Yarrowia lipolytica: one gene and its partners. The protein of the gene in region 2 purifies or fractionates together with the protein of the main gene of each other region. This does not show direct contact. Links are inferred from orthologs where the notes say so. Each region holds a gene or a part of one and is shown on either strand. Other genes may lie near its edges.

What was found.
Region 1: the proteins of YALI1_E35580g (region 2) and YALI1_D17370g purify together in Saccharomyces cerevisiae (affinity purification with mass spectrometry; 3 studies listed by BioGRID). This does not show direct contact. The link is inferred for Yarrowia lipolytica from reciprocal best matches to the Saccharomyces cerevisiae genes RRP5 and SOF1.
Region 3: the proteins of YALI1_E35580g (region 2) and YALI1_A05052g purify together in Saccharomyces cerevisiae (affinity purification with mass spectrometry; 3 studies listed by BioGRID). This does not show direct contact. The link is inferred for Yarrowia lipolytica from reciprocal best matches to the Saccharomyces cerevisiae genes RRP5 and MAK5.

What each region holds. Positions count from the first base shown.
Region 1 is NC_090773.1:1,734,364-1,740,725, reverse strand, and holds YALI1_D17370g (uncharacterized protein), read right to left. Parts: upstream 3,663-6,362; coding exon 2,247-3,662; downstream 1-2,246. Other genes in the region: YALI1_D17355g (uncharacterized protein), read left to right, coding at 5,158-5,943. UniProt on the Saccharomyces cerevisiae protein: Required for ribosomal RNA processing.
Region 2 is NC_090774.1:3,554,621-3,564,010, forward strand, and holds YALI1_E35580g (uncharacterized protein), read left to right. Parts: upstream 1-3,357; coding exon 3,358-8,061; downstream 8,062-9,390. Other genes in the region: YALI1_E35546g (uncharacterized protein), read right to left, coding at 1-33; YALI1_E35559g (uncharacterized protein), read right to left, coding at 582-1,271; YALI1_E35639g (uncharacterized protein), read left to right, coding at 9,324-9,390.
Region 3 is NC_090770.1:502,800-510,518, forward strand, and holds YALI1_A05052g (uncharacterized protein), read left to right. Parts: upstream 1-2,476; coding exon 2,477-5,473; downstream 5,474-7,719. Other genes in the region: YALI1_A05031g (uncharacterized protein), read right to left, coding at 1-394; YALI1_A05091g (uncharacterized protein), read right to left, coding at 5,963-6,361. UniProt on the Saccharomyces cerevisiae protein: ATP-binding RNA helicase involved in the biogenesis of 60S ribosomal subunits and is required for the normal formation of 25S and 5.8S rRNAs. Required for the maintenance of dsRNA killer plasmid.

The DNA of each region.
Region 1 (6,362 bases), on a different chromosome or scaffold from region 2:
TATTTTTTTCTTTTGTTAATTTATTTATTTCTCCATTTCTTATTTGGTTGCTGCTGTTGAAGAAGAGGTTGGAGAGGTATACCTTTGCCTTAGTCGAACGTCCAGAGATGGAATTATTGTTGGACAATAGGGAGACCTGAAAATGTAGAAATGATGGGCTTGAGTGGGGTTTCTATTGGTGTAATTTTCATGTCTAGCGAATAGCTCGTTTGTCATCAAATCAGAGACTATGTATTGTCCCTAGTAATCGAGGTGTGATTACATAATATCAAAATAATCAGCTTGAGTAGACTACCCATTAGTGTAGTCTTAGTCAGCAAATCGGAGATTGTTTGAAAGATTATTAATGATAATCAAAAATATATGTTTTAATAAAAAATGATGATATAATGAAGAGAGACTCGCACCTTCGTTGGACTACGACTAACCTACAAGTAGCTACAAGTACTTTCCTTTCAGTATATCCCTGGTATCTCTTTGTCAAGTATCAAAATAATCCCCTCGAATCGCTTTATCCATCTCTATCCAACTGATGTTACTTGTTAGTCATCAAGCGGTGATATCACGTCAGTCATCAACGGCAACATGTTGTAGTCATTATTAATTGATTAAATATACAGTGAGCAAAGTGTTCTCTAGGCTGGTTTGTGGTTGACCATGTCGTATCTTTGACATTCAGTCACTTGTCGGACACAATTAGTTGGCCTCCTTGGTCAGCTGGTCGCCGTTGACAATCACCTTCTCCTGGGCGATCTTCTTGAGGTCTCGCTTTCCAAGGTGCTCGATGTTCTTGAGCTTGTCGCCGTTGACGATGGCGTTGACCGGGGCAGGGGCAGGGGCAGGAGCAGCAAGAGCCAGGGTGGAGAGAGCAGCAATGAGAGTGGTGGAGAGTCGCATGGTGGATGTGGCAGAAACGAACGTTGGTTGGAACTAACAAAGACGAAAGACGAAAGACGGAGACGCCTCCCCGCTTATATATATATACCGCGTCAGAGCCAGGGTTAGAGTTGAATATGAACGCTTGGCTCCTGCACGTCATCCCTTGGAGTATGTAGATGCAGGGGGAAGGCGGCGGGATCGAGGAGAGGGCCAAACGCGGGACTGGGGCTATCACGTGACGAAAGGAAGCAACGACACTGTTGCTTGTAGTTGTTAATGACGTGATCAACGACTTTTTCCCTGCTTGCCACTGCGAATAAGCGCCTCTCTGGCCCACATCCCTTGTGTTTACAATCTATTGTTAGCATTCTTCCTTTCAACTTTATCACAGAGTTGGGGCGGGAGCTAGACTCCGTTGCTGGGGGTGAAAAGACGTGTTTTTCGTGTCGCACGGACCGCGACTCGGTTTTCGCCCCGTCCAGATTGCTTAGATGCCAGCCTTTGTTTCTATATCATCCGCTAAACCCCATAGATAGCCGCAGCAAGCAGTATCTCAGCTCTTGGCACCTACGATAATGCACGTCATACTTGTAAACAATGAGCGCATAGTCCGAACACACACAGGGATAAGGTGTCAGCCAATTGAAAGTGGTAGGAGGTCCGGCGAGCCCGCGAGTGCGAGGCGGTACGACGGACAGCGAGGCGGTAGCGTGCGACGGGCGGTAGCGTGCGACGGAAGGTATGAGGCGCGTACGATACGACTGCGAGACGGTACGAGGCGCGTACGATACGACTGCGAGACAGTACCGTACCAGTACGACGGACGGCGAGACGAGAACCGTACCAGTACGTACTGGCTGACTTAGCAACTAACGTACGACGGACGGCGAGACAGGTACCGTACCAGTACGGACTGACTGACTTAGCAACTAACGTAGATTCATCCTTCTACCACCAGCAAATCGGACCTCAAGTCCTCACATCCACTCGAATAACGGTCCGGTACTGGTATTTGTATTCCAGGTATTTGTATTGATACTTTCGTAAGTCGCTCAACCTCTGGCCGTTCCACAACAATCCCATCCGGCCATATCTTTCTGACTGACTACAGAGTCCAGGGGGTGGCGGAGTTGATGGATGTGTTCAGCTCATCAGTCTTCAACCAAGTACAGTAATAATAAAAAATGCACTCATATATATGTTATATCTTTTTTGAAACACGACCGCGGCTGTGTGCGCCATGTCACTTGTGACAGACGACGTTGTGTCGAAAGTGGAATGTCGTTTCACAGGTCTATATTAATATCGTCGTGTAGTCAGATGTCATTTCCTCACGTGTTCTCGTCGTGCTATTCACCTGCAAAACACTAGACATTCTTCCAACCTCCCTCAACACTCTCCTTATGCTGCTTCTTCTCCTCCTGAATTCTCTTCCACTCCTCAATCTTCTTATCGTCCTTGATGGCAACACCAACAATATGCTGCTGTTTGAGATGAATGTCAGGCAGGTTCTTGTTATGCTTTCTCTCGTTGTCCTGTCGTCTCTTGAGAGCCTTTCGCTCAATACCCTTGATTTCACGGGCATTCTTGATGGCAGACGGCACGTGTCGGTGTCGGGCAATGGACCGCACCTCGGGCATGTGTCTGTATCGCTCCTTGAGAGCGTCGGTGTATTCTCGGGATGCCCGCTCCCTGGACGACCGGACACCGGCCTTTTCGGAGGCCTTGGCTCGCCACAGACGCACGTTACCGTCATCTGAACCCGACAGAATGTACTTGTTATCCAGAGTGAACTTTGCAGAAAACACCCGCTGCATTCGCTTGGTGTGGTAAATGTCTCTGGAGAACCGTTCTCGGACGTTGAAGATTCGGATAGTCTTGTCATAAGAGGCGGTGACGATTTCCCGGCCGGTGGGCGAGTAGTCCACGTCCATGACCGCAGCCACGTGGTCCTGCAGGAACGATGTGCATGCAGACAGGTTTCGCATGTCGTAAAGATAGACATTGTGGTCTTCGTTGGCGGCACAGAACATGAACGGCACCTGGGGGTTCCATGAAATGGCATTGTTGTTCATGCTGGTGACCAGCTTGTTGATGGGCGAGTTGGTTCGGATGTCGTAGAGGGTGAGGGCTCTGTCGGAACCGGTGGAGGCAAACACAGCGTGCTCAGAGGGAGAGAACTTGAGAGAAGTGATGGTGTCTGCGCCCCAGGACAGCGACGAAAGAGGCTTGGACCGGGTGGTGTCCCACAGCTGCACCTTTCCACATCCAGTGGCAAACTTGGAGGTGTCGGGACCTCGCTGATGGTCAATACAGTTGAAGCCTCGGTCTCCCAGATACACCTGCTTGGGGTCGGGGTTCTTGTTCTTCATGTCCCACAGCTTGACGGTCTTGTCAGAGGCACACGACAGCAGTCGTCCCTCGGGTGTCACTGTCAGACCACGCACAATGTTCTCATGGGCCTGCACGGAATAAGTCTCCTCCTGCGACGTCAGGTCCCAGTACTTGATCACTCCGTCAGCAGAGCCCGACGCCGCAGCGTTGAGCATCCGCGGGTTCAGAGCAATCGTGTACACGCCGTCGATGTGGCCTCGTCCCAGCTGGCCCACAAACGGCTTTGCAAACATTCGCTCCAGCTTGGTGGCATTCAGCGCTTTTGTGTATTCTCGGGCTCGCTCAAAGGGATGCAGCGCGGAGTCGAGGTTTCGGGGCTGCCGCGACGTCTCGGAGGCTCGGTCGGCAAGATAGGCGTCCGTGGACCGCGAAATGGTCTTGATTTTCATGATGGTTGTGTGGTTGCAAGGTGGTGCCAGATAACAGAAAATAGAAGGCTAATCGAAAATATTTTTTTAAGGTTGCAGATGGGTGGTTGTGCTGACTAAGCCAGTATCGACGAGAGCACAACGACTAGTTCTGGAGCATGTTCGCCCGAGACACTGTGGACTGGAGAGTTGTATATGTTGGTTTAGTTGGTTTAGTATGTAGTTTGATGACTAAGAAACATTTTCTCTTATTCTGATGTGCGTTTTGGGGTGGTTGTGGACGTGGGGGGATGGTCTAGAGTCCGAAAGAACCAGATATGAACATATATGGAGGATTCTGCGGGTTTGAAAGATGCTAAATCCATTAAATTGACCAATTCTGGTCTCTATATAACTTCTAGGAGAGTGAGAGTGGTGTTTGTACCCTCTCCCTGAGGTCTGTGTATGGCTTGACTGAGATACCAGGTTACTTGTAGAGTAGTGTCTAGTCTATGCATTATTGTACAAGAAATAAAGCTGAAACACTCCTCTCCGGTTCTTTCTCATTCTTTCCCACTTTTCTCGGGCTCCTACTTGGACTTTCGAGTCAGCAACTCTTCACGTCTTCATATGCTGACAACTTAGCAAGCACAACATTATGATGAGAAAAAGGGCCATTTTGAAACCAGAAAGGCCGATTCACTAGTCCCTTTGTGTCACCAAGCCTGTTTTTCAACTCTACAACTGTCCGTACCCCTTCATTGTGCCTCTCAGGGTCTCTCCACAACTATCTCACCATCCCAGCTTATGAACACACCAACTTTTGCCACAGTACACCAAGTGAAGGGTGTTGGATATTGCTAGATATCTTTCATTAAGCTTATTACAATGGTACAGTTGTTTCTATTCTAGTCCCTCCACATCACCTCAACCAGACGTCTTTCTGACTCTCTAGAAGAGGAAACCTCGGGAAACGGCCCTAGTGATGCCATTCAAGTTCTAACCAAATCAATATTTGTAAAAAAAGGCCCATTATGACGCCTCCTCAGTCTCTGAGACCCTCTGTCTGATTCAGGGAGATCGTATCGAACTCCACTGAAACTACATTGTTTCGCCACATCCTATAAAACTCTGCAAATCAGGGTCGTTTTGGTATCATTTTGAAGCTCTACAGCTGTAAAATTCATCTGAAAGGTCAGATTTGCAATATTCCGCCTCTATCGTCCTCATTTCCTATCTCTTCATATATCTGCTTATTAAGATTACCTTAGTGTCAGACTGTATGTCCGACAAGAGGGTGACCCAAAGCGACCATTTCTGGTTGTTTTTTCGGGCAGAAAACCCCAGTAGCCACTAACCAACCTCGTCGACAAATCTCGCACCTCCATTTCCCTGCCAAATTTCCCCAAGACCCCCAAATCTCTCCCCCAAATCCCACCGCCAAACTCTAATTGCCACCTTGGGTCCCAACGCTATATCTACAGTACTTCGAACCAGCACATCACCAACCTGTACACATCTTCATACAAAACACACAATGCCAGGATTGTCCTTCTCAAACTACCAGCGAAACGCGCATCTGTCGGCCAAGGGCGTCAAGGTGCCGACCGCGACCTCCACCGGAACGACAATTGTCGGATGCAAGTTCGATGGCGGCGTGGTGATTGCGGCCGACACCCGAGCCACCAGTGGCGACATTGTGGCGGACAAAAATTGCGAGAAGCTGCATCGAATCGCTCCCCACATCTGGTGCGCGGGAGCCGGCACCGCTGCCGACACGGAGATGGTCACCCAGCTCACCGCGTCCAACATTGAGCTGCACTCGCTGTCTGCGGGCCGACAGCCCCGAGTGGTCACCTGCCTGACCATGCTCAAACAGCACCTGTTCAAGTACCAGGGCCACATTGGCGCGTACCTGATTGTGGCGGGCGTCGACCCCACCGGGCCCCAGCTCATGTCGATCCATGCCCACGGCTCGACCGACGTTGGATACTACCTCGCTCTGGGCTCCGGATCCATGGCTGCCATGGCCGTGCTGGAAGCCAACTGGAAGCAGGAGCTGACCAAGGAGGAGGCGATCCAGCTTGCATCCGACGCCATCGAGTCCGGTATCTGGAACGATCTGGGATCCGGCTCCAACGTTGACATCTGTGTCATGGAGCAGGGCAAGGACGCAGTGCTGCACAGAAACTACCGAACCCCGAACGTGCGTGAGCAGAAGCAGCAGAGCTACAAGTTCCCTAGAGGCGTCACTGCCGTGCTGGACGTAAAGGTCCGAACCTTTGATGTCGTTTCCACGGAGGTGGTTATGGGTGAGGCGTAGTTCCGATAGTAGCAATGCGTTACTGAGTTGCGCTCTGGATTGGGTAGTTGGAGGGGAAGTTGGAATGAAACCGCTTAGATGAGCTGATGAACGAGTATCAAACTGCAATGCAAACAGAAGGATTGACTGCCATAGCCATTCGATCGTCAAACATAGGAGCATGAAGGATACTCGTATAGTTAATGATAACATATTAGATAAGTGTGCTTCAGATGTAGAGTCAGCGCCGTGCTGGCTAGTTTGTGGACGAGTATCGTAGTAATCTAGGTGAATGGTAGTACACTACGCGTACACTCCGTGGCCTTATCGTCGACATTCATCTACGTCGACACCATCTAAGTCGAAGAACCGTCTAGAAGAACCGTCTAAAAGAATTTCCAGAACCCGATTACCACTTTTTCTCCAACTCCAGTATCCTC
Region 2 (9,390 bases):
TTTGGAAGAGAATCTACTGAATGGCCAGACCATACTTGAGAAGGATGAGGTAAATGGGGTGCTGGAACGTTGTCTAGCCAGTAGTATGCCAAGCGGTTGAGTGAGAGTACTGGAAAAGACGTGAATCAATATTCACAAGAAAGTGAATTGTAGATGAATACAAAAGCAACTATGAGCAACTAAGAGAAGAGTGAGCAACTGACGCTAGATCATGATTAGTGGTGATAGAGCAAGGTTGAAACCTTATCTACAGTACTGTTCTACAGTGTACACACGCAACACATGAAGAGAGAGGTAAACAAGAACTGTCTTAGTACATACTGTAGGTTGGTGTTTATGACAAAAGAATGTACATTCTCCCGCTTTTATGAAATATGAGACATGTTTGGTAATATCTATTCAGACATTAATGCTCTTTCTATAGCAACTTTCTAGATTTAGGCCTTTTCCAGCAAACACCTGAGACTGTGTGGCTATTGGTCATGTGATTATCCTCGTAGAAGCACGTGATATCAGATCATGTGATCTCCAAACACTCGCACTAATGTGCTGTGTTCCTCTCAACGATATCATCTACTGTCTTAGTTAGCTGTCTTTCCGAGGAATCTAGCTGCCACAATCCAGGCGAGAATAACCGCCAAAACCACGAGAAGCTTCTGTTGAAGGGTCCAAGCAGGCTTGTTCGTTTGTGGCTTCTTCTTGTTGATGACTGTGCTCTTAGCCAAGGAGTCGGTTGAAGAACCCTCGGCCTCAACCACAGGAATTCGTCTAGGTGGCACGAAAGGAGCAGGCTCGGCCTCTTTGGTTCCTCCAAAGTGAGTCTGGAAGCTCTTGTCGTGAAGGTTCCATCTGCGCGACTCGCTGGCGTATGTCCGCTTGGTAGCTTCTGTGGATGTCATACTTCCTGCAGTATGTTCATCTGAGGTCATGAAGCTCAGCAGCCCCGTCAGGATCGTGGACACGGTCCATGCGGGGTTCCACGTGTCCGGATGGTAGTCACTTATCGACAGGCACAGTCGTGTGTTGGGCAGGAACCTGCCTGATGGAGTAATCATTTTGATGGCCGGCGGCTTGAAGGGATACTCTGATGGGAAGAGCAGCACACCGTGGTACTGTCCGCCTTCGTAGGGAGTCTCCGGGGGACCTGTGATGAGATAATGCCACTCCAGGAGATTGTTCTCTGCTGGTTTCGCGGTGATGTAAGGAGGAGCGTTTTCCTGTATCGACGCGTACTCCTTGACTAGTCGTTTGTTAGCTGCTTTGGTCGCCATCGGAATGGAGTCTGTGTGATGCGCAGCTTTGGCGTGCAAATGGTTCTGATGGCGGCTTGATCAAATCTGTTTTTGCAGATTGTAGCTATTACAAGTAGTGTATGGGAGAGGTTCTGGAAGAACAACGCAGATAAAGTTCGTCGGTATCGTGATTCTACAAGTAGGTGCATTAGGGGTGCCTAGGGATATGACCTTCGTGATAGTAAATGTTTGTTTGAGTGAAGACCAAGTTAAACAACGACTGGAGTATATCTCAGAAGTAAATTCGATGACACCCCGAAGAAAACATGACTTTTGCCTCTCATTTCGGTTGCCACATATTCTGAACTACTATGGCTTCTACCCTAATCGGGAAGTGTATATAGCTTTACCGTTGAGTTGAAATCGTATTGGATAGGAGTATGTAAGCGACGTAGTGTACAAGCACTTGTACAAGTAGCAGATCACTCCAGGCATCAGAGCGCCTTTATTCTCTCATGGCACTCCTCATATCCACACCAACTCCGACTCCATGTACTTGTACTTGTACTGGTATACCTCATCGATTCAGATGGTCTATTCATTCATTAAATAAGGGTGACGTTCAGAAGACGTTCCAACGTGTACTTGTACTTGTACCCGTATCAACATATGTATCGTTTGATCCAGTCGCCAGGCCGCTGCCGATAGCCTCAAACAAATCTACTTCAGCGATTTACTGCTTGTCCTTGGCGACACCGGCGGGGAAAGAGCCCTGCGTGGTCTCCTTCTTGTCCTTGCAGTCGGGAACGGGGTCGGAGGGAACAACTCCAGAGGGAAAAGAGCCGGAAGCAGTGGGGATTTTGTCGCTCATTGGGAATGTAGTGTGGGTTTGTTTTTGGTGTTGAAGAAAGAGTATTCGCTCAGAGAGACTGGATATTTATATATTGGCGCCGTTGGGGCCTGCAGCAGCAACCGAATCATTGAACTCTGTCACCAAGGTGCGGTGTCTATGTAGATGGAAGTTTGTGGAAAAGAGAGACGCCGTTGGATGATGTCATGGAGAAAGATACGTCCGTGAAAAAACACATTTGCGAGTTACAGTGACCATAAGGGTAATCCCACCGATCAAGTAGCAAAACATTAATCATTTATTGAGGATGCTCAAGTTACTTTAATAAGTCCTGTAGACCAAAAAAATTGCCTTCGACCAGATTTGAACTGATGATCTCAGCATTACTAGTGCTGCGCCTTACCACTTGGCCACGAAGGCGAAATTTCTTTCATGTCAGAAACCAGATCCGGTTTAGTCAGTAGTTCAGCTCAGACCAGCGGCAACCTCGAGTCTGGATAAGACATGAAACGATTGATTTGATTTCTTGATCTGTTAGCCATGATTCACTACCACGAGACCACGAAAATGACATCAACTAGACGAAGCGTCGACAAACCAAACCGACAGCGCCCCCCCAGCGCCACATATGGCAAAGAATTCAGAAGTTTGTATGATTTTATTGAACGCCAATAACCCGGCTTACTAGGTATATAACTGTAATGAATCATTAGAATAAAAATATATAATTAATCTGTTACTTTCCTTTCCATTAAGAGATTAATATGTCAGAGTATCTAAAACATTTGGCTTTATCCGGTTGTAGGGCTGTTGCCTCATGGGCTTCTCTTCTACGGTCTTACCGTCGAATTTGTACCAATAATTTGACTTGAGTTTGTTACTGTAGCCCAGAAATATCCTTATTCGTCTCTCTCCACTACAGTATGTACATACTCCAGGTAGGAACACTACAAGAAGCGCCACACCACTCCCGTACCCCCCCTACCTATCAACCTCAACCAGCCTGGGGGCCGTGCCGCCTACATAGTTATATATGGAGCCTGTCTTCTCAGATACATTCTTCTAACTCTGGGTTACTAATCCAGCTTGACGGCTTGTACAAAACCATTGCCGAACTCCCAAATTTATGCGACAATCCTCCAGTATCCACCACCGCCACCAATTGTGGAACATGATAAGGTTCAGGGTTCATGCAAGGTGCAAAAAATTTGGGATTGTAGGTAAAATAAATTTCAGTCCATTGGTGCTACTCTCGCACACATACATCATACGAAAATGAAACGAAAGCATTCTGAGGTGTCTGAGAAGACGAAATCAGAAAAACCGGAATACAAGTCAAGCCTCAAGATGGAGGAGGGCGCGTTCCCCCGAGGAGGAGCTGGAGTGCTGTCTGCCATGGAGATTCGACAGACTGCCGATGAAGCTGCGAAGGACCTGTTCGAGGAATCACAGGCCGCCAAGAGCTCCAAGAAGAAGGGTGGAAGAAAGGCAAAGCAGGCTGTGACGAGCGACATTGTTGCGATCCAGTCTCTTTCTCTGGACAATATCTCTGTTGGTTCCATTATTCTCGGACGAATCGTCAATATCCAGTCCACCGCTTGTGTCGTTTCGCTGCCCAACAACCTGCATGGTTTCGTGTCTTGTGTTCAGGTCAGTGAGGCACTCAACGCCAAAATCGAGGAGGGCGAGGAGTTCGACCTTTCGGACTACGTCAAGGAGGGACAGTGGGTTCGAGCTTCTGTCGTCGATACCTCTAACAAGCGTCTGGGTCTCAGTCTGCTGCCCAAGGATGTCAACAGGGATATTGAGGACAGTGACATTGACGCAAACATGGCTCTGCAGGTTGAGGTCAAGTCGAAGGAGGATAAGGGTTACGTTGTTGCTACCGGTATCAAGGGCAAAAAGGGCTTTATCAAGGACACCGACGTTGAACTCAACAAGGGACAAATCGTGTTGGCTTGCGTGCTTCGAATCAGTGGCCGAACAATCACCCTGGACACAGAGCATACCGGTGAGGCCGTCCGGCAACTAGAGGACTTCTCCAGCGCTGTCGCTGGTACCCCAGTCACAGTCGTCACCACCGATAAGCGAAATAACGGAGCAGTGGTTTCCGTCTTCGGTTCCGTTGATGCCACCATTGATCCCTTCCAGGGATCCTTTGGCCTTGAGGAAAAGACTAGCTCTGTTGCCCGAGTTGTCGCTACTCTCGACCGTGGTGCCAGCGGCAAGCGAATGCTTCTCTCTGCTCTGCCCCACGTCGTCAACTTGGAGGATGCTGACCCCAGAATCGGTGAGGCTTTCCTTCCTGGACAAGTTCTGGGCGTCAAGGTCACTCATGTCGTTCAGCACGGTCTGTTTGTTGAGCTCGCCGAGAACATTCCTGGTTTCATTCACATCTCCAAGCTCGCTGATGAGAAGACCGATTCTACAGCCGACTACGAGGTTGGCCAGACTCTTGATGCCAGAATTATCGCTTTTGCCCCCCAGGACGAGATGTACGTTTTGTCTTGTGAGCAGTCTGTCATGGATGCCAAGTACATTGCCACCAGTGATTTGTCTGCTGGTGACAAGGTCGAAGGTACTGTAACTAGGCATCTCCCCAAGGGCGGTATTATCGTGGCACTGTCATCTTTCATCACCGCTGTTGTGCCTGCTGCTCATCTTGTTGATGCCAAGATGGCCAACCCCGAGCTCAAATTCAAGATTGGATCCAAGATAAAGGGCCGACTTCTCGGTGTGGACAGCAGCGGTTGCCGAATGACCATCAAAAAGTCTCTCTACAACTTGCCTAAGGACGATTTTATCTCCTACGCGTCTGAGATTGGCGACATTGGTTCTGGAACAGTTGTAAATGTCAAGCCTGGAGGGTGTGTCGTCGAGTTCTGGGACAACTCTCAGGCCTGGCTTCCTGCTGGAGAGGTGTCTGAGGCTTTCATCGCTGACATTACCAAGCATTGTCGAGTTGGCCAGACCGTCAAGATCCGAATTCTGGATATCAACCCTGAGAAGCAGTCTATGCAGGTCTCCTGCAAGCTCTCCAAGGTTGCCGCTGAGCATGTCTCTGGTGCCTACGAGGGCATCTCTCTTGGAGACCTTGTTACCGGTAAGATCATTGACAAACGAGGTGACTTTGTTATCGAGATGACCGTTGGTGATGTCGATCTCACTGGCGTTGTTCCTCGAAACCTGCTCCCTCCTAGTCACAAGAAGCTGCGTGTGGGAGACAAGCTGGAGTGCGTTGTCCTTGCCAAGCAGCCGTGGATGAGCTCTATGACTCTCGGTGCTCATCCTGACATCATCAAGGGATACCATAACAAGACTCTGATCAAGGAGACTCCTTCTGTTGGCCAAACTGTCACCGGTTGGGTCCAGAACGTCAACCAGCACGGTGTCTTTGTGTCTTTTGCAGGTGTTGTCGGTCTTGCTCCTCAGGCATCTCTTAGTGATGACTCTTATGACAAGTTCCAGGTTGTCAAGGGTCGAGTGACTTCTGTCAACGGCGACAAGTTTGCGGTCTCTATTGGAAAGTCTCTCAATGGTCCTGCCGTCAACCCCGTTGACCCCAGCATCTCTACCATTGCTGACTACTCTGAGGGTAAGAAGACCGAGGGTATTGTTACTGCTGTTCTCCCCTCCTTCGTCTCTGTCCGTCTTTCCGACAACCAGAACGGTCGAATCTCACTCTCTCAGCTCGAAACTCCTGTTGAGAAGGACGATAAGATCTCTGTGACCGTACTTGGTCCCTCTTCTCAGGGTGATCAGATCGAGCTGGCTACTAACGATGTTCGACTTTCTATCAATAATCTTGAGGAGGGCAAGGCTTACCCTGGTGTCGTTGTTCAGTCTACTGCGGACTCCATTTGGGTGGCTCTGTCTGCCTACATTGTCGGCCGTCTGGATCGAGCTGATGTTCAGGAGGCTGACTTCGCTGATGCTGTTGGTGACCTTGTCGAGGTTTCTGTCTGCGGTATTGAGGGTGACAAAGTCAAGCTTCGAGGAGCTCAGTCCGAGGAAAAGTCTGAGGGCTTCTCAGAAGAGGCGCTGCCCGCCTCCAACGGACTTCAGGGTGCTCAGGTGACTGCTCGAGTCAAGAAGATTGAGGTTGACTACGTTCAGTGCACTATCAACGTCAATGGCAAGTCCTCCACTGCCACAGCCTCTCTTGTGGATGCTGTCGATGATTACTCTCTCAAGCTCAGCAATGTCTACGACATTGGTGAGACTGTTCCCGCTGTCATCTGCTCTGCCAAGGAGCCCTACGCCATTTGCATTCGAAAGAACCCGGAGGGTGTCGATCCTCTCCCTTCGCTCCCCCTCAAGCGAGGTGACAAGGTCAAGGGTGTCGTCACTGGTATTGCTGCCGGTATCTTCGTTGCTATTGGCCACGGCATCGATGCTCGAGTCAAGATCACTAACTTGTCCGACTCTTTCCTCATGGACTGGAAGAAGTATTTTAAGATCGGTCAAATCGTCACTGGTCGAATCATGGGCTTCTCTGACAAGGGTCTCCCCGACATGTCTCTCAAGCAGCGTCATATGACTGGTGACAAGCTCATTGAGGGTCCCCAGGATCTCACTGTTGGCCAGAAGTACGACGGTTCTGTCCAGCGAACTACCGACTATGGTGTCTTTGTCAACATTGGAGACGCTACTGGTCTGTGTCATAGATCCGAGATTGCCGACACCCCTGTTGGTGATTGCTCAGAGCTCTTTAATTCGGGTGACAAGGTCCGAGTTATTGTTCTCAAGATTGAGGGCAGCAAGGTCTCGCTTGGAATGAAGGCTGCCTACTTCGAGGGTGATGAGGATGACAATGACGAGGAGGACAGCGATATCGAGATGGAGGTCGAAGAGGACTCCGAGGAGGATGAGGAAGACAGTGAGGATGATGAGGACGAGGACGACTCTGAGGATGAGTCTATCCCCACCATTCGATCTACCAAGCAGCAGCAGAAGAAGGCCAAGTCCACTGCCATGGATGTTGGCTTTGACTGGTCGGGAGACGTCTTCGGAAAGGAGGAGGAGCAGAATGGTTCTGATTACGATGATGAGTCTGACGAGGAAGATGATGCCCCCAAGTCTCGAAAGAAGCGAAAGACTCAGATTGCTGACATCACTGCTGATCTTTCGACTGCCACCCCTCAGTCTGTTGGTGATTACGAGCGTCTGCTTGTTGGCAACCCCAACTCCTCTGTTTTGTGGATCTCCTACATGTCTTTCGTCATGCAGCTCTCCGAGCTTGAGAAGGCTCGAGAGATTGCCCAGCGTGCTCTTAAGACCATCTCTTACCGAGATGAGGATGAGAAACTCAACGTCTGGCTCGCTCTTCTCAATTTGGAGAACACTTTTGGCACTCCCGAGTCCACCGACAAGACCTTCAAGGACGCTGCTCAGTACATGGACGCCGAGACCATCTACATGAAGATGGCTGACATTTACGCTGCTTCTGACAAGAAGGACAAGGCAGACGAGGTCTATGCCAAAGCTGTCAAGAAGTTCTCTGGCTCCATGGAGGCGTGGATCAAGTACGCCACTTTCCTGTTTGATAACGAGCAGGCTGCGAAGGGCCGAGTTCTGTTGGATCGAGCCACCAAGGCCCTGCCCAAGCGAGACCATCTCCAGTGTGCCATCAAGTTCGCCCAGCTTGAGTACAAGTCTGGAGATGCTGAACGAGGCCGAACTCTTCTGGAGGGTCTGGTGTCTGTCTACCCCAAGCGAACCGATCTGTGGTCTCAGTTTGTCGACTTTGAGATCAAGTATGGCCAGGACAAGACCAAGATCGAGGCTCTGTTTGAGCGAGTTGTTGCCTTGCCCAAGTTGTCTCTCAAGCAGGCCAAGTTCTTCTTCAAGAAGTGGTACCAGTACGAGGTTGAGTCTGACGACGACAAGGCCGCCGAGTACGTCAAGGCCAAGGCGGCGGATTACGTTACTCAGCGAACAAAGGAGGATGAGGAGGAGGATGAGGAGGAGGATGAGTAAAAGAACGGTGGATTGTTGGTTTGTGATAGTATTGGTATTAATTGATTATTAATGATAGAATTACGTTAAGACTTGTACCTGTATTGTATATAGTAGCAGTAAGCGAAGACTATTGGAACAAGTACCGGTGGTCCTGCTTGACTTGTGGGTCCGTGCCCACAATGCCTCAAAACGCCAGATGGCGTGAGCCCATTCTCGGATGAAGTTCATGAGGTCAAACTGAGCCTCAACTAGCACACTATCCTCCATTGTGGCCTGGGCCGGGTATCTGAAGACAGGAAGACGACACAGTCGGAGCATGTGGAGCTTTTCGGCCCTCCGGGCATTTATCCTGTTATGATTGCCTGGTAGCTGGTTTGCTTGTAGCCAAAGTTCATGTTTGGGGTCGCGTTCCTGATCGAGCAGGGCCATCCAAACATAGTTCTTCATGACAGTGAAATGCTTGTGCCAATTGCCCATGGCCTCACGGGGCGTTATCGGCAGAAGGAATAAGAGATTATCGATCTACACTTCGGACATCAGGGCCATGGGGGGATCCACACGTTGCTGGTAGAAGGAATTTTTTTATTATTTTTCTATGGAAATACATTTCAACTACTTGATGCCTACAAACAATGTTATACCCGAATATCGGACTCGGTTTTTTTTATTTTTTTATTTTTTTATTCTCATGATTCATTACAGCTATATACCTACTTGTAGTAAGCCGGGTTATTTGCGTTCAATAAATCATACACTTCTGAATCTTTGCGATGTGCGCTGCGGGGCGCTGTCGGTTGGTTTGTCGATTCATGGCATTCTGAGTTGAACTGCTGACTAAGACGGATCTGGTTTCTGACATACATGTAATCCGCGCCGATGGTTTAGTGGTAAAATCCATCGTTGCCATCGATGGGCCCCCGGTTCCGATTCCGCGGGTCGGCGGCAGTGTGGTTACGGCCCATATCCTGGTGAAAATACGGCTTCCCGTCCGATCAGCCATAGTCAAGCACCAGAGAGCCTAGCTAGTATTGTAGTGGGAGACCATACGAGAATCCTGGGTGCTGTAATTTTTTTTGGCCCCGATTCACCTGAATGTTCTGTGGCATGTTTGGTGCAACATTGTTTTTATCTGTTCACAATCACCAGCTCTTACAGTAACTACGAAGGCAATTCTTAATTATTCACACAATGGTCATTCTATCATTGGGCAAACTGAACCTTCCCAACAACCATCATATCAACAACCCACTAAGTGATACCTCCAAATAATATCATTCGTTATGTGGAGAAGCCTGCTGCCGTTACTTGCACTCATACATTGGACACAGGCAGCATGGTGGATCACAG
Region 3 (7,719 bases), on a different chromosome or scaffold from region 2:
CAATCTTGTGTCGCCACTTTTCTCGCATCTTGTTGATTCGCAGCATGGCGGCTCCCATGATGGTGATAATGATGGACGAGACAATGGAGAAGACGCCCTCCCACACGTTCTCAGTCATGCCCCACAGATCGTGTCCGTAGATGTAAAAGGTGGCAATGAACGCACCTCCCACGGCCAGACAGATGAGCAGACCGAAGATTCCACCCAGCCATACCTGGGTAACAAGCCGTCGATACACTTGCAAGTCCTTCTGGGACACATTATCGCCCAGACCCTGGTTGAGGAACGCCAGAAGCACGGAGATGATAATCGCCGTCTCAATGGTCTCTCGGAAGATGATGAAGAAGACCTGAACCGAGAAATAATTCTCGAAAAAGTCCGCGTAGTTGACCATGTTGTGTTGTGGAGTACAACCTGGAAAGAGTGAGTCTGGTAATTAAAAGCGACTTTTCAAAATAAGCTCCGTAGGGGTTAGAGTTGGGCGGCGTGGTGGTGGACATTTATCAAGGGGCAATCGGGGGTTATAGGGGCGGAATTTGAACGCAAAAAACAGATCATCCCACTACTAACGCGACAATAAATAGATTCAAAACATCTCCCGTTCAATTTGGCCGTCCCTATAGCTCTTTAAACGCCTCTCTTATCTGATGTTGCTCCATCTGATAACTGCACAACCTAATTATCCGGAGCCTATTTTTCTGCGTATAACCGTAACGGAGGAAACAACAAAACGGTGGCAACAGCTCCCAGAATCGTCGCAAACCGGGAAGTAAAAGGCGAAAATTCCTCACAGTCACGTGAGAAGTTTGTGCCCGTCACATGATGTCCAGGGTTCCGTCTTGGGTTCCTGGTACCCTGTTATTTCGCCATCCCATCACTCCGCCACCCCACACACCCATAACCCTTGACTAGCACGGCTCATTAACAAAAAGGCAAAAGGGAAGCATCGTCACGTTGCGGCTAATTGGAAGTGTATGGAGGAATCAATTTAGAGAAGTTTGGCGCAGTCCGATCAAAGCACAAGTGGCATAGAACGACTCCTCAGAACGAGCCAATCAAAAACGGTATGTTTTTCTCCCACATTGGACTCTTATTAAGCAACTAGAACTCCACCGAAACTGATTCGGAGCGAATCTACCTTGCACCTGAGTTCCGTTATAAAGTGGAATGTTCATCTCCGACAACAGAACTCACACAACTTGCCCAATTGAGCTCCGATTGGGCCGCCAGAAATTTCAGTACATCTGCTGTCCCTCGCTGACCATTTCTATATATAAATATTGCCATTGTACCCCGTCAAAACAGACACAGACTAGAACTAGGCATTGCCAAAGTTTACAGCAATACCCTGCACTCTTGCAACAGAACATACACTAAACATGCGCGACAATGGTTTAGAACGGCGCTCGGGGTTTCTCCTTTCCTTTTTATCCGCATTAGTCACGTGCGGCCAAGACTTTCCACCCTCAACTGCATACTATCTGCGTCCCCGTTAGCCACTTTGAGTGCAACTACGGTGGGTCTGTTTAGTCCAGATCGTCTTCTCAACAGGGTTGTATTTTGTAGTTAGTTGCAAGGAGGTAAAAGACTATAAACCCGAAAGACCTTGTTTGTGAATGCGAATCCACGTGAGTTCACGTGGTTGGCACGTGGCTGTATGCCTACGACTGTTCTGGTCAGGCTGTCACTTGTGCATTCTTTTTTTTTCCTTTCTTTTGTCGAGTTCGTTAGCAACATGCACTCGGAGTCCGAGCGGAGCTACAAGCACTCACCAAGGAACCACAAGCCACAGTGGCGCAGCCGAATGAGACACGGCGCACCGATCAGATAACGTCATCTGATAAGAGGGGAAGAGCTTGTTCGTCAGTGCCGTGTAGTTTCAGGGCCGTTTGGAGTGTCATACGTTGAAAACTGTAGTGCATAAAAGACAGTCGTTGTGTCAAGGCTAATCCTCTTTAGTTGAATGTTTGTTAGGAAAGGGTGTTCTGTGATACCGCAAGTTATAATTTTTTAACATATATTTCAGAAATACTAGGGGAATTTCAAGCCTGAAATGACAAAGAAAGTGTTCAGATTGTAGAACTGAATGAACAGAACGAATTGGGACCATCTTTTCCATTCATTTGTACACACCCACTCGATCCAGCAGAACCGATTGGGAATGCCACACTCAGACAATTAGTTAAGATTAGTTGGAATCAAGCGCACTTATTTGTTATGTTTTTTATTAACGGAGGGATCTCTCAGAGAACTCATTGATCTAACTAAGGCAATATGAACAAGACAAATTGTCATAAAGAGACCATTCCAAACCACACCATATCCTCTATCATTCCCCTGGGACTCTTCCTACGCATCCTACGACGTGGTTTGGTTCTCCCTATTCTGCTCACCATCTAGCCCTAACCTCCATGCATCTCAATGCACGTTTAAAAATTATTTTTCCAGGCTGAATATTTCCGTACACACTCACACCATGGCTATCAAACAGAATGCGAAAAAGGGCGGCAAGCCTGGCAAGCCAGGTGGAAAGCCTCCTGGTGGGGGCAAGCCTGCTGGCGGCAAGAAGGTGTTTCGAAAAATCAAAAACGGCTTTGTGGAGCCTCGAAAAGCGAAAGCGGCCAAGGGTACGACTGTGGCAGCCATGGACATTGTTTCTGCTGCTGATCTGAGTGCCAGCGAGAGCGAAGACGAAAACAAGTTGAAGGATTTCGCCAAGTTTGACGATGATGAAGAGGAGAAGGAAGACAAGGGTGGCAAGGCCGAGAAGGACGTCAAGAAGGATGTCCAGAAGGACGTCAAGAAGGATGTCCAGAAGGATGTCCAGAAGGATGTCAAGAAGAGTGTCAAGAAGGATGTCCAGAAGGCTGGCAAGAAGGATACCCAAAAGGATGTCAAGAAGGCTGATGCTAAAACTAACAGCGCCATTGAGGGTTTCGCACAAGCCACTAAAGGTGAAGAGGCTGAGGTCTCTGTGCCTGCGAAGGAAGTTAACAAGGCTGCCAAGAAGGAGGACAAGGATGTGAAAAAGGACACTAAGACAAAGGATACTGTCAAGACTAAGGTCAAGGCTGCTGTTTTACCCGAATCTGACGCAGAAATGGACAACTGGTCAGATGCCGAGTTTTCAGACGGTGGGGAAACCATCGATCTTCCTGCACCCGGAACAAAGCCTCTCGACATTAACAAAATGAACTGGAAGAAGGTTGAGCTAGGCGACAAGAAGATGGACTTTGAGGGTTTCTACGGACTTGAAGAGCTGGACGGTGTTGATATTGTGGTCAACAACGGCCTTCCTACTTTTGTTGTAGGGGAGAAGCCTGAGAAGAAGAACTCTAAGAAAGAGACCAAGAAGGCCGAAGTTAAGAAGGATAAGTCTGGGGATGCCTCTGAGCCAGCCAAGAAGAAGGCCAAGGTTGCCAAGGACGGAAAGGACGGCAAGGAGGTTGCCAAGACTCAACCTAAACAGAACAGCAAGAAAAAGGCCGAGGGAAACGCATTTGAGGCCCTCAATAGTGTGCCCGACGACATTCATCTCCCTGACTGGACTCTCAACGGCGAGCAGCTTAACTACTCCCTCATCCAGGGCCTGTATGCTCTTGGCTACAAGTCTCCTACAGAAATTCAGAAGAAGTCGATCCCACCCATTCTGGCGGGTGATGACGTGATTGGAAAGGCCAGTACCGGTAGTGGTAAGACGCTGGCGTACGGTCTGCCGATTTTGCATCGATTTTTGGAGGCTGAGAAGTCAGACAAGAAGGAGGAGGTCGAGGAGGAGGTCCCTGAGAAGTGTACTACCAAACCCAGACCTAAGAAGGTGACCAAGATGACCGGACAGGAAGAAAAGAAGGACGACGAGGAAGAGGAAGAGCGATTCGATATGTACGATGAGGCTCCCGAGCCCCGCTTTGATATTTCCGACCGACCTGCTGACCTTCCTGTGCTTGACAAGGAGCGAGAAGACCGAGAAAACGAGGTGGAGATGGACGAAGAGACCGAAAAGGTGGAGAGAGACATGTCTTCTGTTAAGCCTCCTCAGGCCATTGTTTTTGCCCCCACCCGAGAGCTTGCTCATCAGATCACCGACCATTTGAATGCCGTGTCTCAGTTCTGTCCTATTTCTGGACCGCGAGTCATGGCTCTGACCGGTGGACTGTCTATCATGAAGCAGCGACGTCTCATGAAATGGAACCCTGCCATCGTTGTCGCCACCCCAGGTCGATTCCACGAGTTCATCACCGATACCGACGGCATGGTTGATGTGTTTAAGCGAACCAAGACTGTGGTAATGGACGAAGCCGATCGAATGCTTCAGGATGGACACTATGAGGATCTTGACAAGGCCCTGGATCTCATTGGACGAGGAAAGGTGGCCAAACGACAGACATGTGTGTTTTCAGCCACCTTCCAGAAGTCGCTCATGTTCAAGCTGGACAAGAAGCGAAAGCAAAGAACAGGTCTGGCCACCGATCAGGAAACCATCCGATTCCTCGTGTCCAAGATGAAGTTCCGACAGTTCCATCCTACTTTTGTGGACGCCAACCCTGCCGAAGTTGTCGCTCGACAGGTTCTGGAGAGTATCGTCGAGTGTGGCGCCATGGAGAAGGACCAATACCTATACTACTTCCTGCTGACCTACCCCGGCAAATCCATCATTTTTGTCAACTCCATCGACTCTGTCAAGCGTCTCACTCCCATGTTGCAGAACCTCGAGCTCCCCGCTGTGCAGCTGCACTCCAACATGATCCAGAAGGCCCGTATGCGGTCCCTAGAGCGGTTCCGAGACAACAAGAACGGTATTCTGGTTGCGACTGATGTCGCAGCTCGAGGTCTGGATATCCCCAATGTGCACCATGTTGTGCATTACCACCTGCCTCGAACTGCAGATGTCTACGTGCATCGATCTGGACGTACTGCTCGAGCGGGAAACGAGGGTGTTTCTGTGCTCCTGTGTTCGCCCGACGAAGCGTCGGGACCTCTGCGAAAGCTGCGAGCTGCCCTGTCACGTGACAATGCTCTTGCGAAGCTGAAACCTCTGTCCATGAACTACGACGTGCTGGCTCAGATCAAGCCCCGAGTGGAGCTTGCCAAGGAGTTGGCGGATTCGGTTCTGGACTCCACACAGGTTGGCAAGCAGGATTCGTGGCTCAAGGAGGCTGCCGAGGACCTTGGAGTCGACTTTTCCGACTTTGAGAACGATACCCACGATCACAAGAGCCATGTGCGAACCAAGCTAGGCAACAACAGCAAGAAGGGCATGAAGGTGATGAGCAAGGACCAGATGGCTCGTACTCGAAAGGAGCTTGAGAAGCTACTTAGTAAGCCTCTGGGACGACATTCGTCCAAATACATCACTTCTACTAACGGAATCAACTTGGCCAAGATGGTTCTGGATGGAAAGTCGCATGACAAGATTATGGGAGTGGCTCCTCAGACTGCTGGAGAGACCCTGAGAAAGAAGCGAAAGAACTAGAAAGCGAATAGCCGAAGTTCAATGCGGACCAAAACATGGAGGAGTTTATAGAGCAATCATAATGGATAAGATGTACTGTTCAAGTTCAACAGTAGTATACCGTACAGGTGCTGGTTGAGTTCTACAACCACTAGTTTTGTGCGTAATCAAGACAAATGATGGGAACAACTGGTTACCTCAACAATACTTTTGCACCTACATATCTCTAGGACCGCTCAATTGTTCAAGACTGTATTGTATTTTCATTAGTTACATCCCTTTAACATAAGAGAAGGAAATGAACAATTCCTTCAGTAAGAGCGACGTACAGGCGATTAATAGCTATAAGTAGCCCACAAAGCCTCTCATTCAGAGTCATACATTTTCCGTTTTATTAAATCATAATTGCATCCCATCCATACTTTACAATCCCAGCGGCAGCGTGCTCTAGGTACCGGAGACACACTAACACACTCTCAATGACATTTCTTAGTGCTGCACACTATTCGGTTAGAACCGTCCCCGACCTCTAGGTCCACCTCGTCCTCTGGGACCACCTCGGCCTCTAGGTCCTCCACGGCCTCTCATAGGTCCGCCTCGTCCTCGAGCCGCACCTGGTCCACCTCTTGCCGCGCCAGGAGCACCAGGCTCAACCTTTCTTCTCTTGGCCTTGGGAGTATCATCAATCAAAAGAGTATCCAAGGGTAGCGAGTCGGGGAGAATGAAGAACCGGATTGTGTTGCCTCGAATGTTGATGTAGTCGAGCGAGGTTGGGGGTCGGTTCTTCATGGTCATCTTCACATTCTTGAGTGTCGTGTTCATATTGTTGGACACAGACATGACTGTTCCGAGAAGAACGGTACCTGAGTTAGTAATGACGTAGGGGAAAGGGGGCCGCCATGTGCACATTAGAGGGAGTGACAGATGCAGACACAGATACTGACAGAAGACCCTGATAGAGCCAGAGTAGACCGAGCTCTGTGGAAGTAGGAACAGCTGTATTCAGCAGACAGCATATTGATTTACCAGACCCCAGGGTAAAACAGGCCGTGACTGTGATGTTCCATGGTCTTGATCAAAGGCGGACAGGCAAGAAGAGCATGAGAAATCAGCCAGAATATTGTAATAGAGGTAGACGGATCGTGTGAACTGATGATACCGCAGCGAATAACGTCATTTCCTCTTAACGTCAATGCGTCTGACCACTGTCTGTTGATCTCGCATATTGCGAATCGCGTCTGATGGGGTCAAGCGTGTATACACGCGAGAAGACAGCAATGCAAGCCGCTATAACACCATATACATTATCAGCTGTCACAGTATCACACCGAAACCATTAGCCAGACTCCCGGTCCTCTCTTGTCTGTGTCTCTTCTCTCTTACCCAGTCTCCCATCAACCTTCCGTGTACCATAGTCAGTGTTCTTATGAACCGCCATGTCACCGTTTGAGTGGAAAAAGAATGTCACAGCTTGTAAAGCCGTTTGTGCAATGTCAGCCCGCATCAGTCAACATTCTCGCCTGCTCCTTCGCCTCCCTCAACTTTAGTCGACATGTACATGTTGACTCGTTCATAGTGGATCAGACTTACAATAGTAACAAACCCATCATGATCGAGCCACGTGTCTGGATAGCTGTTTGTGCCACAATGTGGTTGGTTGTTGGGCTCTCCTCCGCCATCAACTCGAGCTTCTCGCTCTTTCGTTCTGTTGTTCGCTCGTCAGACGTGCTTCGCACTCTGCACTAGTTTCCGCACTCACCATTCTTCAGCTCAATCTGGACCGACTCCGAGGTCAGTTTCATCAAAAATCTGTGTTAGCAAAGCTCGCGGGGACGCCAGTGCTCAATACTCACCTGACCAATTTCATTTTGTGCTGTGGTGATCGAGAAGACGATTTCCAGATATGATGCAGTGTTTTTGCCAAACTCAATCTGATGAGTAAGCAAGGATGGAGAATAATGCAAGAATGGGTGGGAGCAGACAAGTTCAAATACCCAAGGGATAGACTGAGAACGACAACAATGCTGAACTCCCGTCACTGATAATAACCCTCCTTGACTCATAACCTGTTCATGATCGCACACACTTATCAGGTGCATGTACAAGCACCAGTACACGCCCAGTACACGCCCAGTACACGCCCAGTACAAACTCCAGTACAAACTCGCATCAGCTCTTTTAAGAGACTCGTGGGTCGTAGTCACGTGATCTAGTCCAGTGGATTTGGCGTCGCTCTACTCCGGTTTATCTGTTTGATCACGTGAGTT